3 linked regions of the Arabidopsis thaliana genome follow. The protein of the gene in region 1 interacts with the protein of each later gene in a pairwise test. Each region holds a gene or a part of one and is shown in the gene's direction. Other genes may lie near its edges. The genes, in order: WRKY40, WRKY38 and GUN5.

Region 1 (4,617 bases):
AGATATATCTATTTAAACTTTCAAGTTGTTATATGTTAAACAGTAAATGGCGTTTTCCGTATTACTCATCTAGTAGATCGTAGTAAGTTATATACGTTTTTACAATGAAAGGTTTCGGCAATGTAAGTTGTATACGTGGTACGAGTGAGTATCCATACTTCTACCGGAAAGAATAGAGATCAAGAAAAATGAATATAATTAATAAAGCTCTACCGAGGAAAAGAAGAGTGAAGGATAATGGAGAAAAATAAGAAAAAAGATGATGAGATCTGAATTAAGATTTTATTATTCACAATTACAAGAATAGGTACAGTCCTGGTTTGTGCTAAACCAAATTCGAATATCAAATATAAATTACTTATAGGTTCGACTGTAAAATGAGATATGAAAGAAAGAAATAATATATGATGATGTAATGCATGAGAAAGTCCAAAATGATCGGCATATGGGATTAAGCGATTCCATATAGTTAAGTCAAGTTACTATTTCAGATAAATGGATAAGTTTGTCGTCTATATGTTCTGTTATCTCCAAACCCAAATCTATAACATTGCGACATTTTTGAATCGTTAACGGCAAAATAAGTGGGGAGGGGGGGGGGAAGGAAAAAAGGAAGGACACTGAGATTTTGATAAAGTTCGGTAGCCAAATTTGTGCATGACTTTTAAGAAAATACGTATGCTGATCCAAAAACAAACAACTAAATAGATTTTAGTTTGAGAAAATCGAAGTAACAAAATTATTATTTAATATATAGTGTGAGAATTTAACAGCTACTAATAATTATCATAACACGAATTAAGTGTAATAGTAATATATGTAGGAAAATGGTTTAGCACCACTCACTTGATTAACTCGACTTAAACCAAATATAAAGTAATATTTATAGATGTAGTTGGTTGTATTTTTGCAAGCTTTGGTACTCGATATCTAAATTTTTAATGGAAAAATTAGTCGAGTGGTAATTCGTTATATATAAGAAAATATTTTGTTTGTAATTGTGCAAACTTTAGCATTGGACATCTAACTATATTCTGAAAAATCAGCGGAATGATAAAAGTTCGGATTTTCCTTCTTTTTATTTAAGTAAACATAATTGGTGTTCTGAAAACCAAAAGAAGGAAGAAGGCAATTAAGATTTGTTAAAGTTCGTCACGATATTGATGTCAAGAAAAAAGGAAAAAAAAAAAAAATCGTCACGATGGTATCGTCAATTTGTCTAGTGGATTTTGAAAAGCCGTGTGGGCTTGACTTTGACCGAACAAGGCACACGTATACATCTAGTACTACTGAAGAAATCTCTCATTAGAACGCAAACCACGTTCCGCACACTCTTAATATACTATTAGTCTATTACTATCACCAACTAGTTGTCATTTTTTTTGTCAAACGTGCTAATTAATTCACAAATAGAAGTATTAAACTTCCTAATTAAGCACGCCTTTACTACATTTCATTATTATTATACATGTAATCAACCATTTCTTTTATCCCACATGTCATTTGTAGTCCTGATTTTATGACTTTATGCATCAAGTTATCTTTTTTTTTGTCACTCCATGCATCAAGTTATCTAAACAACATAATTATTGTCTGAAAAATCTAAGATGATATACAACATATGTATTTAATTACACATTAGGCTTGTTTAACAATTCTTGATTATTTTTACTCTTTTTGGGTGAGTTCTTGATGGATGTCTTGAATTACAAAACTACATATTCTGAAAATATTAACCTTGAGTTTAGGCCGGCTATGCTATAACGAAAAATAAATAAAAGCAACTAACCCGACAGAAATGTCAACCAACTATCCAAAATGAAAAACAAACGTGGAGAGCGTCATATTATTAGTAGGCCAATCACACACCAAATGTTTGTTTAACAAAAAAAATAAGAATGTCAACCAACTATCCAAAATTAAAATCAAGAATACATTTCATATGTTTCCAATATGTTTTTCTTAAACAAAATTGGGACTAAAGATTGGACCAAATACGTGTGCGGGTGGACCCGATAGAAGCCGAGTTGAGTCTAAAGACTAAAAAGTAAACAAAAAATGATAAGACCATCACTTAGTTTATTGCATGAAAATGAAAAGCACATGCTCCTCTCTCTCTCTTCTGCCTCTTTCCATCTAGTTTCCTCTTAAAACTCCATTATATATAGAAACAAAATCTTTTCTCTCTTCAACAATCCCACCATTAAAAAAGAAGAACCCAAGATCGACTCTTACTTCGAATCTCTCTCAACTTTCTTCCTCAGCTTACGGGAACTTCCACACATATACATCCACAAGAACCCATATCGAAGATTCATCCTACATATATTTACATGGATCAGTACTCATCCTCTTTGGTCGATACTTCATTAGATCTCACTATTGGCGTTACTCGTATGCGAGTTGAAGAAGATCCACCGGTACGCTTCTCTCAGATTCTTCATTCTCCACATGTTCAGAAATTTTCAATTATCATGGAGCTTTTTAATCTAGTATCTCATCATTATGTATTATACACTTACATTTTTCAATTCGGTTGGTTTTGAAAATATATAAACTAACTCAACTATCCATAGACATTTTTTTCAGATGTATAATCTATAAACATAGATATTTTCTTATACTTCACAAATATTTTTATATATAATTGGCATAAACTTTAACAACAAGAAAAATTCGTTAGTAATTCATGTGGTGGGTTCTTGAAATATAGATGTAACGCTAGATCATAAAATCATATTAAACTTATAGTATGAAGAAAATAATATGGTTACTAACTTCATGCAATATATATATATATATATATATATATATAAATGATAAATTGCAGACAAGTGCTTTGGTGGAAGAATTAAACCGAGTTAGTGCTGAGAACAAGAAGCTCTCGGAGATGCTAACTTTGATGTGTGACAACTACAACGTCTTGAGGAAGCAACTTATGGAATATGTTAACAAGAGCAACATAACCGAGAGGGATCAAATCAGCCCTCCCAAGAAACGCAAATCCCCGGCGAGAGAGGACGCATTCAGCTGCGCGGTTATTGGCGGAGTGTCGGAGAGTAGCTCAACGGATCAAGATGAGTATTTGTGTAAGAAGCAGAGAGAAGAGACTGTCGTGAAGGAGAAAGTCTCAAGGGTCTATTACAAGACCGAAGCTTCTGACACTACCCTCGTAAGCATTCATGAAAATGATCAAACTTGGTATCTATCTATCTTTAGAAACTTTATTTTATATGGTTTACTGATTGTAGAAGTTGTTTCTTATAGGTTGTGAAAGATGGGTATCAATGGAGGAAATATGGACAGAAAGTGACTAGAGACAATCCATCTCCAAGAGCTTACTTCAAATGTGCTTGTGCTCCAAGCTGTTCTGTCAAAAAGAAGGTAATTGATAAAGAAAAAAAACTGACTCTCGCTTAAAATATGAATTGGCATAATACAAATTTGATAGACTTATTAATCTGATTTTGATCCTGTGTTTGTTTCTATTCAGGTTCAGAGAAGTGTGGAGGATCAGTCCGTGTTAGTTGCAACTTATGAGGGTGAACACAACCATCCAATGCCATCGCAGATCGATTCAAACAATGGCTTAAACCGCCACATCTCTCATGGTGGTTCAGCTTCAACACCCGTTGCAGCAAACAGAAGAAGTAGCTTGACTGTGCCGGTGACTACCGTAGATATGATTGAATCGAAGAAAGTGACGAGCCCAACGTCAAGAATCGATTTTCCCCAAGTTCAGAAACTTTTGGTGGAGCAAATGGCTTCTTCCTTAACCAAAGATCCTAACTTTACAGCAGCTTTAGCAGCAGCTGTTACCGGAAAATTGTATCAACAGAATCATACCGAGAAATAGTTTAGCTTCAAATTCCGTTAGAGTTTTTAGATTTGAATTTGTCATGAGTAAGAGAAAGAGAGTAGATTATAATCCATTGTGATACTGAAAATGTAACATGTAATCGTTTTTCATACAATCTCCAATACATTCGGCTTTAGAAACTCCTCCTAGTTTGACAACAACAACAAAAATATCTGTACAAATGCAAACACAGCACAACAGCATCCTAAGCAGCACAGAGTTAAAACTATTCTCTCTTGGTTTTTCTTTAATTACCAGTCTCGTCCTTTGTCATGCAGTCATGGTGTCTGAAGCAGCAAGTGAGATGGTCGTTTGTGAGACCAGCTGTTTGCATGAACGAGTAAATAACCGTTGGACTTACACTGCGAAAACCTCTGCGTACAAGATCTTTGCTTATCAACTCGGCTTTCGAAGTCTTCACAGGGACTTGACGTGGGTACCGGAATTGGCTCTGAGTAGGTTTCTGGTTAACGAAGTTCCAAATGTACTTGTCAAATGATCCAAATGCACCTATTATCTGCATTTGAGAAAACCAATAACAGTAAGAAAAAAAAAGGTAATGTTGTTAAGAAACACAGAAACTATGATCAGGCTTATAGGTGATATATTACCTTGCAAACTTGGTTAGCATTCTCGAGGATTGACCGTAGCTTTTGCTCTGATAGTAACGTGGTGGCAGCAATCTCAGGGGATGTTATCTTTTTATTTGTTAATTCAGATATTGCAATTGGATCAAAGTCCATGAAAACCTCCCTGTT
Region 2 (4,064 bases), on another chromosome or scaffold:
ATTAGCTAATAAATAAAATTATTAAAAAAATGTATCACCATTATTGTCATGTAAGTCATGTTCACATTCACTTTCCTTTCGCACCATAAAATAATGTGACTTGACCCATAGCTTTGCTTGACTTGTACATATGTGACCCCTTACTCAATATAGTACTAATACCTATACAATATTTAACAATTTGCTAATAACAAGAACAAAATACATGTGGGCAACGTTTCACAGATCAGATCAAAGTCACGTGCGAAAGTTTATATATATATATATATATATATATATATATATATATATCTCTTATGTGTTGATATCTATCAATTTACATTAACCACCCGCAGAAGAAGATAGGGTTGTTAAATTGATGGGTAGATAGAACTTAACATTCTTTACAAACTTTGTAATTTGTTGTATAGTTTCATGAATGGTGTTAATTCATGGCCTGAAAATACCATCGATGTATACAATCTGATAAGGATAAATTGTTTTGGATTGACCATCTATTAGTTTTAAAATATGATTGTATAACTTGGATTGGTTAGCTTTCAGATTATACTATATATTCAAAACAAGCTTTTGTACGTATATTATATCATTTTATCCGCTTAAAATGTAATTACTAATTTTTCTTTCATATAAGATTCAAGTTTACCTAAAGAAAAAGGATTCAAGATTACCAGTTATCTTTTGCAAAGCTTATTAATTATAAATTCTTAAAATTTTAGATTAAATTAAAATATGGACCGAGTAGCCAACGAATGAATCTCACATCACGGCATAGTTGACTAGTTGTTGTTAGTATATAATATAATCAACATTGCTGCTTCGTTCTGACGTCAATCTGCTGAATCAGCCCCTTCAACAAAAACTACGTCATGGGGCTGACGTCGAGTGTCCGACGAAACTAATGCCGTTTTCATTGGTGCATTAGTCGCCACTCGCCAGCTACATCGCAATTATTTCTCTCTTTAAGCGTTGAAAAATTGTCTAGATCTTACTTGTTAATGTTATTCTATTACCTAATAATTATCTTTTGTCTGGTCTAAATACTTACATTTTTATTTAAAATCTGAACCAAAACTCACCAAAAAATTAGATAATTTTACCATTAAAGATATCCACGACTAGTGGAGTATTTTCATTACAAAAAAATGAATTGATCATATCATATGTGTTCGAAGCTTATTATATTGAGCAAAAAAACATTATTTGTACACGTTTCATCTTTGATGAGGTAAACATTGCGATGGACGTGTAAAATATGTTATACTTTTTTTTTTTGTGAACATCCAATCTATTACATACATTTGTTTTTTTTTGTCATATGAACGTAAAATATATTATTTTCAAAACTCTATATTATTAGTTACCGTATAAATTATAATTAAAACCACCTATCAAAATATTAAATAAAAAATATTTAACGATATACAATCAACAAAATTAAGCAAACAAATTTATTCTTAAATTTCATCTGCTATATATTTTCAAAAAAAAAATAAAAAAAATTGCGACACATATTGAAATGGAAAGATTACAAAAGAAAATTTTAAAATCATTGCTAATTTGGGGTTTATCATAGCTCATATCTCTCTCTAATATATCTGACTTTGTAGAACACAGTTTTCTATTAGATTCCTCCTATCTTGAAACCTTTTAGTGTTCTGAAAGGAGTAGTTTTTAATTTTTAATCTTTAATTATTAAGCGAACCGCGTAGATTAGTGTAATAAGAGAAACAGATAAATTCTGAAACAATTAAAAACAGATTGTATATAATTAAGTGAGCCGCGTACTGGGAAAGGTATATAAAATAAACTCTGTTTCCTATACATCATGACAGATCATATGCTAATGTCAACACCTAATCTATCTTTTTGTCTCTCTTTATTTAGATTCACGCATATAAGTCTAGCAGAGCACATGTCCTATATCGAAATTATAATTTATCATTGGCTTCTTAAAATATAACCTAGTGTATGTAAATTATATTTGGTAAACCCAAATTGGCAAAGTCATTTGGGAACGTGTATGTACGACTAGTCCTATAAATTCTGATCTCCCTATCCGTTCAAAAGTTTATAGCACAGAGAAGAGACTTGAGAAAAAGAAAACAAACAAGAAACACATACACACACACACAAGTTCACTATACTCTATGGAAATGAACTCCCCACACGAAAAGGCGGTGCAAGCTATCCGTTATGGCCATAGCTGCGCCATGCGGTTGAAGAGGCGGCTCAACCATCCAATGGCTGATGGTGGACCGCTTTCAAGTTATGATCTTGCTAAATCGATCGTTGAAAGTTTTTCCAATGCCATTTCAATCTTATCTGCTAAACCAGAAACCGAAGATGATCAGTTTTCTGATTTATCTTCTAGGGATTCTTCTCCTCCTCCACAGGGGAGCCCCTCCAAGAAAAGGTATACACTTATGAGTTTGTTTTCTTTTTTGAGTTTGTTTTTGTTTTTCCAAATGAAACCACAATTCTTAATATAAGTATTTTTTTTCTTAGGAGTATATGTTGATTTTAATGCTAATATTTTGATAATACTCATGTTTGCAGAAAGATTGATAGTACAAATTCAAGTGAGAATTGGAGGGACGATTCACCGGATCCGATTTACTACGACGGGTATCTTTGGAGGAAATATGGTCAAAAGAGTATAAAAAAATCTAATCACCAAAGGTAAGAAATAGTATAGCTAATCATATTTCATCATAATTATTTCTATCCCGATCACTCATACTAATTGGTGTATGATGATGGTAACAGGAGTTACTATAGATGTTCTTACAACAAAGATCATAACTGCGAAGCAAGAAAGCATGAACAAAAGATCAAAGACAATCCTCCGGTTTACCGAACCACTTACTTTGGCCACCACACTTGCAAAACCGAACATAATCTAGATGCCATTTTTATTGCCGGACAAGATCCCCTAGATGACTTTAAAAGTACCCAAATGATCCGATTCGGAAAAGATCAGGATCAGGAGAAGGAAAGCCGCTCGAACGGTTTCTCCTTATCGGTTAAGCATGAAGAAGATATCATCAAAGAGCAAGCTATAGATCAGTACCGTGAGATAACCAGTAATGACCAAGATTGTCAAGATGTTATAGAAGAATATCTATCATCACCATCAGGCTCTTATCCTCCTTCATCGTCATCTGGCAGTGAAAGTGCTGACTTTAATTCTGATTTGTTATTTGACAACCCAGACTCGTGGGATCGTTATGATCAGTTTTACTTTTGATTGCACTAGATTTTTCAGCTAAAACTATTTAATAATGTTTTCCTTTTTATGAGATTGTATATATTTGAGAATTGTGACTATTTAAGTATTTATGTTATTGATTAGATAATCCGAGAACAATATTTATATTCACCCCTAAGAGTTTATTTCCGGCCAATAAAACTCTATCATCTAATAAATAAATTAAAAATTCATTTGATTATAAAATATAAATTTCAACCACTTTTTGTGTAAACCTAAATCGATCTATAATCTCGTTTAATTATAAAATCTAAACTCTCATTCATCTTTAAAAGCTCAAAACCGACATTTTAACCTTGTTTAATTGTAAAATATAAATTCTAACCATTCTTTCTAATCCCAAACTCACATTTAACCTCGTTTAATTGTAAAATCTAAATATGTTTATAAACCAAACCCAACATTTAATTTGACCTCGTTTATTTACAAACTAAACCATAATTCTCCTTTACAAACTCATACCAACATTTAACCTCGTTTAGTTTTAACGTCTATAATCCTAACCATTTTTTCTAAACCCAAATTGATATATTTAACCTCGTTTAAAAATGTAAAATGTAAACCTTTTTATAAACTCATACCAACAATTAACCTCATCTAGTTGAAAAAAATCTAAACTCGTTTATAAACTCAAACCTATATTTTATCTTGTTTAATTATTAAATTTTAATCTTAACTATTTTCTTATAAACTCAAACTAATATATAACTGTTTTTGGTGGCAAATTAATTTTTATAATTTAATATTTTTAATTAAGTGGTATATTATGATTAGCAAAATAAAATAGGGTGAA
Region 3 (7,935 bases), on another chromosome or scaffold:
ATACATAGTTGAATAATAAAGCAACAGTCCTCTATCACAGCCTGAACACACTTTCCACAGATGTAGTTAGAACTTCTCTATTCCCAACAAAACATAAAACACTACTTCATTATACGCTACACAAAGCTAAATCTACACGCAACGACAGTAAAGGAAGTAACTTGTTATGAACGGACTCTAGGGCATGTCTAGCAACAGATTTGGCAATAAGATGACTTGAAATTCCAAGGCAGCTATTTTATATCCTAAAGTTAACAATCAAACAGAAATAGTCCAAGCCAATTACGTCCTTGGAACGCTTACCTTACACATACAGAAATAGTCTCTTAAGAAAATAGCGTTTCACATCAAAAAAAAAAAAAAGTAAAGAGTAAGACAGACAAACATGGAATTAAAGTTTGAGTGATGTTGAAGAAGCAACAAGTGCGTGATCTCATCAGATCCAATCCAAATCCCAATATAAAGGAAGAGTGAGAATTGTTGAGCTCACCTTTTGTAGACTTCACCAAAAGTTCCACCCCACAAACGTTTTCTAAATAAACCATCAGCGCATTGTTTGCCTTCCCAAAGCTCGAGCCCACCGGTGACAATCCCAGGAATGAAGACAACAGGATGTTTCGCCTTAAGACCTTCTTTTTTGAGCTTAACACCGGGCGGGTCAGGCAAAGGACCCGTGATTCGCTCCGTTACATACTGAGGGAAGCTCGCAGGCATTGCGTTGTAAAGGAAGAGAAGAAACCACCAGGTTACACACACACACCCAATGAACCAACAACAAGAATCGATGCACGACCACTTCCCTCCTCCGTTCGATTTCTTATGGTGGGATTTGGAAGATTCGTGTGGTTTCTTTTGCGAATCCTCATCGTGCACCACCTCTTCAGATGGCGGCGTCGATGGTTTCTCCGTCGGCTTTTTCCGATGAATAAGGGGCATATCTGTCACTTGAAATTAAACCAGGTTAAGCTATACGGACTTTGTCAAATCTCGTCCAGGAATTTAGAACACAGATTAGGGATTGTTAGATCAGTCGAGAGAGACAAAGAGCTGTTTCTCTGCGAATTTCTGGAACCAATCAAATCAAATTTGTCTCTTTTGTTTATTGTCGACTTTTCTGTTTTTTTCTGTTCTGGTATTATTCCTCCAAGGGACTCGGACCGGATGGCAAAACTTGACCACTTTGCTCCTGGTTCAGGTTGCGGTTCATGGTCAACCTTAGACCCGACCTATCCGTTTCGTTGATTTCATTAATTAGTCTGCGTTTTCTTGGGTGGAGTGCAGACAGATTTTCTTCTGCAGTAGGCGTTAATCCGATAGGCTCTTGTTGGGCCTCAAATAGTTCAGTAAACTTTTCGTGGGGCTTTTAGTATAGCCCATGTATTAATAACAATATTACACTTGGGAAATGACAAAAAAAAAAAAGAGAATGAAGCGGTACTCTTATATCAAAAAAACATATTGTATATCTTCGAATATGATGCAACTCATGCAACAACAATACTAGTAGGCTACATGTATTGCTCCATTTAATTACATATAACTTAATATTCTAATTCATAAACTTTCTTTTAATTATATATTTTATGTAAGTTTTAAATATTGAAAAAAAAAAAAGTTTTAAATATTGAAACATGATAAGTTTTTACATCCATTTATTATAAAAAAAATAGTGATGATGATGATCAAAATTTTGAGTACATTTTAGAGTGTTTTAACTTTTACATTTGTTGTTACAATTGTTATGAGTCTGATATTTCAAATTTCGTTTTCAAAGAAAAATCCTGAGTTTACCTTAAAAGATTAAAGCCAGTTTTTAAGAAATAAGTAGAAAAATATCAAACCAGACCTAGCTGAACCAAAAATTATACAAAATCTAGACCGGATTAAACCGGCTACCCGACGAATATGCCTAGTAAAAGTGTCGTCATCGGAAAAGAATCTTTTACATGGCTGAAACCGCAAATACGATCTTCAAGAGAGCAACATAAAAATACTTGTCAAATAAGTAAAGAAAATAAGACACTCAATATCCACACTCCCAAACCATGAAAATATGAATAGAAATCTCAATGAGCCAATCAGAGGCCAGCAAAGTCCATCTCATTGTCCCAAGCGGATATACATCCGACAAAACTCAACCTCACAAGTAGACTCTCCCTTCTTCCGTAACTATTCGTCCACGTGTCCTTCCCTCTCACCACTTACCTTCAAAACCAACGCTTCTTTTTTAGTTCCTTGGTCCGAAGCGTTTACCGATGAGAGAATCATAAACTCCCACTTGGAGCTCAAAAAGTGTAAGAGACAACCAACAAAAAACGATTCATCTCTTCTCCTATCCTCTCCTCTTCGAATTCAACGTTTGGAGAATCCAGCAGCCGCAAAATGGCTTCGCTTGTGTATTCTCCATTCACTCTATCCACTTCTAAAGCAGAGCATCTCTCTTCGCTCACTAACAGTACCAAACATTCTTTCCTCCGGAAGAAACACAGATCAACCAAACCAGCCAAATCTTTCTTCAAGGTGAAATCTGCTGTATCTGGAAACGGCCTCTTCACACAGACGAACCCGGAGGTCCGTCGTATAGTTCCGATCAAGAGAGACAACGTTCCGACGGTGAAAATCGTCTACGTCGTCCTCGAGGCTCAGTACCAGTCTTCTCTCAGTGAAGCCGTGCAATCTCTCAACAAGACTTCGAGATTCGCATCCTACGAAGTGGTTGGATACTTGGTCGAGGAGCTTAGAGACAAGAACACTTACAACAACTTCTGCGAAGACCTTAAAGACGCCAACATCTTCATTGGTTCTCTGATCTTCGTCGAGGAATTGGCGATTAAAGTTAAGGATGCGGTGGAGAAGGAGAGAGACAGGATGGACGCAGTTCTTGTCTTCCCTTCAATGCCTGAGGTAATGAGACTGAACAAGCTTGGATCTTTTAGTATGTCTCAATTGGGTCAGTCAAAGTCTCCGTTTTTCCAACTCTTCAAGAGGAAGAAACAAGGCTCTGCTGGTTTTGCCGATAGTATGTTGAAGCTTGTTAGGACTTTGCCTAAGGTTTTGAAGTACTTACCTAGTGACAAGGCTCAAGATGCTCGTCTCTACATCTTGAGTTTACAGTTTTGGCTTGGAGGCTCTCCTGATAATCTTCAGAATTTTGTTAAGATGATTTCTGGATCTTATGTTCCGGCTTTGAAAGGTGTCAAAATCGAGTATTCGGATCCGGTTTTGTTCTTGGATACTGGAATTTGGCATCCACTTGCTCCAACCATGTACGATGATGTGAAGGAGTACTGGAACTGGTATGACACTAGAAGGGACACCAATGACTCACTCAAGAGGAAAGATGCAACGGTTGTCGGTTTAGTCTTGCAGAGGAGTCACATTGTGACTGGTGATGATAGTCACTATGTGGCTGTTATCATGGAGCTTGAGGCTAGAGGTGCTAAGGTCGTTCCTATATTCGCAGGAGGGTTGGATTTCTCTGGTCCAGTAGAGAAATATTTCGTAGACCCGGTGTCGAAACAGCCCATCGTAAACTCTGCTGTCTCCTTGACTGGTTTTGCTCTTGTTGGTGGACCTGCAAGGCAGGATCATCCCAGGGCTATCGAAGCCCTGAAAAAGCTCGATGTTCCTTACCTTGTGGCAGTACCACTGGTGTTCCAGACGACAGAGGAATGGCTAAACAGCACACTTGGTCTGCATCCCATCCAGGTGGCTCTGCAGGTTGCCCTCCCTGAGCTTGATGGAGCGATGGAGCCAATCGTTTTCGCTGGTCGTGACCCTAGAACAGGTTAGTCCACTTATGACCATATTGCATTTTTCATGATTGTCATTACGCAAGAGTGGGAATGTTTTCTTATGGAGGTGGTTTACCAATTGCTGCAGGGAAGTCACATGCTCTCCACAAGAGAGTGGAGCAACTCTGCATCAGAGCGATTCGATGGGGTGAGCTCAAAAGAAAAACTAAGGTATTGTATTACCACTCATCCTTAGTGAAATCACATTCCTTCATGACTTTCTCAAGAATGTAATGTATGTTCTCATGAATCAACTCTGGCTCATTGCAGGCAGAGAAGAAGCTGGCAATCACTGTTTTCAGTTTCCCACCTGATAAAGGTAATGTAGGGACTGCAGCTTACCTCAATGTGTTTGCTTCCATCTTCTCGGTGTTAAGAGACCTCAAGAGAGATGGCTACAATGTTGAAGGCCTTCCTGAGAATGCAGAGACTCTTATTGAAGAAATCATTCATGACAAGGAGGCTCAGTTCAGCAGCCCTAACCTCAATGTAGCTTACAAAATGGGAGTCCGTGAGTACCAAGACCTCACTCCTTATGCAAATGCCCTGGAAGAAAACTGGGGGAAACCTCCGGGGAACCTTAACTCAGATGGAGAGAACCTTCTTGTCTATGGAAAAGCGTACGGTAATGTTTTCATCGGAGTGCAACCAACATTTGGGTATGAAGGTGATCCCATGAGGCTGCTTTTCTCCAAGTCAGCAAGTCCTCATCACGGTTTTGCTGCTTACTACTCTTATGTAGAAAAGATCTTCAAAGCTGATGCTGTTCTTCATTTTGGAACACATGGTTCTCTCGAGTTTATGCCCGGGAAGCAAGTGGGAATGAGTGATGCTTGTTTTCCCGACAGTCTTATCGGGAACATTCCCAATGTCTACTATTATGCAGCTAACAATCCCTCTGAAGCTACCATTGCAAAGAGGAGAAGTTATGCCAACACCATCAGTTATTTGACTCCTCCAGCTGAGAATGCTGGTCTATACAAAGGGCTGAAGCAGTTGAGTGAGCTGATATCGTCCTATCAGTCTCTGAAGGACACGGGGAGAGGTCCACAGATCGTCAGTTCCATCATCAGCACAGCTAAGCAATGTAATCTTGATAAGGATGTGGATCTTCCAGATGAAGGCTTGGAGTTGTCACCTAAAGACAGAGATTCTGTGGTTGGGAAAGTTTATTCCAAGATTATGGAGATTGAATCAAGGCTTTTGCCGTGCGGGCTTCACGTCATTGGAGAGCCTCCATCCGCCATGGAAGCTGTGGCCACACTGGTCAACATTGCTGCTCTAGATCGTCCGGAGGATGAGATTTCAGCTCTTCCTTCTATATTAGCTGAGTGTGTTGGAAGGGAGATAGAGGATGTTTACAGAGGAAGCGACAAGGGTATCTTGAGCGATGTAGAGCTTCTCAAAGAGATCACTGATGCCTCACGTGGCGCTGTTTCCGCCTTTGTGGAAAAAACAACAAATAGCAAAGGACAGGTGGTGGATGTGTCTGACAAGCTTACCTCGCTTCTTGGGTTTGGAATCAATGAGCCATGGGTTGAGTATTTGTCCAACACCAAGTTCTACAGGGCGAACAGAGATAAGCTCAGAACAGTGTTTGGTTTCCTTGGAGAGTGCCTGAAGTTGGTGGTCATGGACAACGAACTAGGGAGTCTAATGCAAGCTTTGGAAGGCAAGTACGTCGAGCCTGGCCCCGGAGGTGATCCCATCAGAAACCCAAAGGTCTTACCAACCGGTAAAAACATCCATGCCTTAGATCCTCAGGCTATTCCCACAACAGCAGCAATGGCAAGTGCCAAGATTGTGGTTGAGAGGTTGGTAGAGAGACAGAAGCTCGAAAACGAAGGGAAATATCCCGAGACAATCGCGCTTGTTCTTTGGGGAACTGACAACATCAAAACATATGGGGAGTCTCTTGGGCAGGTTCTTTGGATGATTGGTGTGAGACCAATTGCTGATACTTTTGGAAGAGTGAACCGTGTCGAGCCTGTGAGCTTAGAAGAACTAGGAAGGCCGAGGATCGATGTAGTTGTTAACTGCTCAGGGGTCTTCCGTGATCTCTTTATCAACCAGGTAACCAGATAAAAGCTTTCTCTCTTCTTTCATTTAGATTCTTGTTGGTTGGTCTCTCATGGTGTTTCTTCCTTGAATTATCTTGACAGATGAACCTTCTTGACCGAGCTATCAAGATGGTGGCGGAGCTAGATGAGCCTGTAGAGCAAAATTTTGTAAGGAAACACGCGTTGGAACAAGCAGAGGCGCTTGGCATTGATATTAGAGAGGCAGCGACAAGAGTTTTCTCAAACGCTTCAGGGTCATACTCAGCCAACATCAGTCTTGCTGTTGAAAACTCGTCATGGAACGATGAGAAACAGCTTCAGGACATGTACTTGAGCCGCAAATCGTTTGCGTTTGATAGTGATGCTCCTGGAGCAGGAATGGCTGAGAAGAAGCAGGTCTTTGAGATGGCTCTTAGCACTGCAGAAGTCACCTTCCAGAACCTGGATTCTTCAGAGATTTCTTTGACTGATGTGAGCCACTACTTCGATTCTGACCCTACAAATCTAGTTCAGAGTTTGAGGAAGGATAAGAAGAAACCAAGCTCTTACATTGCTGACACTACAACTGCAAACGCGCAGGTGAGTGAATTTTCTTTGTAGTTCATATATGGGATCAGTTTTACCTTGCAAGAACACATTCCTTAAGGTATTTGTTGAATCTGGCAGGTGAGGACACTATCTGAGACAGTGAGGCTGGACGCAAGAACAAAGCTGCTGAATCCAAAGTGGTACGAAGGAATGATGTCAAGTGGATATGAAGGAGTTCGTGAGATAGAGAAGAGACTGTCCAACACTGTGGGATGGAGTGCAACGTCAGGTCAAGTAGACAATTGGGTCTACGAGGAGGCCAACTCAACTTTCATCCAAGACGAGGAGATGCTGAACCGTCTCATGAACACCAATCCCAACTCCTTCAGGAAAATGCTTCAGACTTTCTTGGAGGCCAATGGTCGTGGCTACTGGGACACTTCCGCTGAAAACATAGAGAAGCTCAAGGAATTGTACTCGCAGGTGGAAGACAAGATCGAAGGGATCGATCGATAAACAATGGGATATAAGCCTTTCTTCTTGTAAATGAACTTAAAACTTTATTTTTGTGTATTACAGTATTCTACCAAACGACATCATCTCTCTGTGAATAAGAGAATGTTTTGGCTGACATTTTCTGACTTTATATGAATGTTGTGGAGCTTCTTCTTTCATCTCCATTTCTTATATCATATTCATATGTGTGGATTTTATATGCGAAGAAAATGAAACTATAGTTAAGTGTAAACAAACTATGGTTGAGTCATGCTTTTGCGCCAAGAAAGGACAATTTGTCTTTATGTGAATTCAAAGTGGAGCGTTTTGGAGAAGCACTAGATCTAAGGTGTTCTCACATGTATATATAAGATGAAGCTATGCTGTGAACGTGGCAAAGGGAAATGAGCAAGAGAGAGATACAATGTAGAAAGCAAGCAAGAGAGAGAGATAGCCATTAAAAAGGTGTAATCTTTGGTTTTTCTCTTGAGAGTGTAACAGAGAAGAGATCTCAAGTGTGAGACTCTTTCTCTGTGGAATTCCCTCTTGTAACTTGCTTATTCTAGTGGATTCCGAGATGTGACTCGGCCCAGACTTTAGCATAAATATTATGTGTGTTCTCTCTTCCTTTCTCACCTTTCTCCTATCAAAGTCTCTGTTCTTTTCTCTGCATATATTATGTTTCATTTCCATGTGTTGGACTCTGTTTTGCATCAAACTACTTCAGTCTTGGTTTGCTAAGGTTTAAGCTCAAGAAAGTCAATAAGTCTTTGAGCCTCTGAAACCAAACAATATGGAACAAAACATCCTTGGAAAAGTTTATTTAAATGACATAGAGAAGAAATTGCTTGGCCATATATGAATAGACCATATAGTATAAATAAAATGCTGTACAACTGGACTCCAAGAAACAATACATAGGAATGTTTAAAACTAGTATCAAGAAGACAGAAAATAAAATAATATGGAAACATGAAAATAGCTAAATATAAGACAGAGTATAAATAGGAATGGATAGGACAATTCAAGAAAAAATAAGAATAGACATTGGTTCATGA

What was found.
Region 2: the proteins of WRKY40 (region 1) and WRKY38 interact in binary tests that used the Arabidopsis thaliana proteins (3 or more experiments, as listed by UniProt).
Region 3: the proteins of WRKY40 (region 1) and GUN5 interact in a two-hybrid assay, tested with the Arabidopsis thaliana proteins (one study listed by BioGRID).

What each region holds. Positions count from the first base shown.
Region 1 is NC_003070.9:30,381,501-30,386,117, forward strand, and holds WRKY40 (WRKY DNA-binding protein 40), read left to right. Parts: upstream 1-2,060; 5' UTR 2,061-2,333; coding exon 2,334-2,420; intron 2,421-2,830; coding exon 2,831-3,172; intron 3,173-3,267; coding exon 3,268-3,384; intron 3,385-3,493; coding exon 3,494-3,856; 3' UTR 3,857-3,999; downstream 4,000-4,617. Other genes in the region: AT1G80850 (DNA glycosylase superfamily protein), read right to left, coding at 4,107-4,376, 4,471-4,612. UniProt on the Arabidopsis thaliana protein: Transcription factor. Interacts specifically with the W box (5'-(T)TGAC[CT]-3'), a frequently occurring elicitor-responsive cis-acting element.
Region 2 is NC_003076.8:7,494,794-7,498,857, reverse strand, and holds WRKY38 (WRKY DNA-binding protein 38), read left to right. Parts: upstream 1-1,867; 5' UTR 1,868-2,150; coding exon 2,151-2,416; intron 2,417-2,559; coding exon 2,560-2,682; intron 2,683-2,769; coding exon 2,770-3,250; 3' UTR 3,251-3,403; downstream 3,404-4,064. UniProt on the Arabidopsis thaliana protein: Transcription factor. Interacts specifically with the W box (5'-(T)TGAC[CT]-3'), a frequently occurring elicitor-responsive cis-acting element.
Region 3 is NC_003076.8:4,386,530-4,394,464, reverse strand, and holds GUN5 (magnesium-chelatase subunit chlH, chloroplast, putative / Mg-protoporphyrin IX chelatase, putative (CHLH)), read left to right. Parts: upstream 1-2,035; 5' UTR 2,036-2,382; coding exon 2,383-3,787; intron 3,788-3,882; coding exon 3,883-3,965; intron 3,966-4,064; coding exon 4,065-5,867; intron 5,868-5,956; coding exon 5,957-6,433; coding exon of another isoform or gene 6,434-6,437; intron 6,438-6,520; coding exon 6,521-6,898; 3' UTR 6,899-7,158; downstream 7,159-7,935. Other genes in the region: PDAT (phospholipid:diacylglycerol acyltransferase), read right to left, coding at 491-936.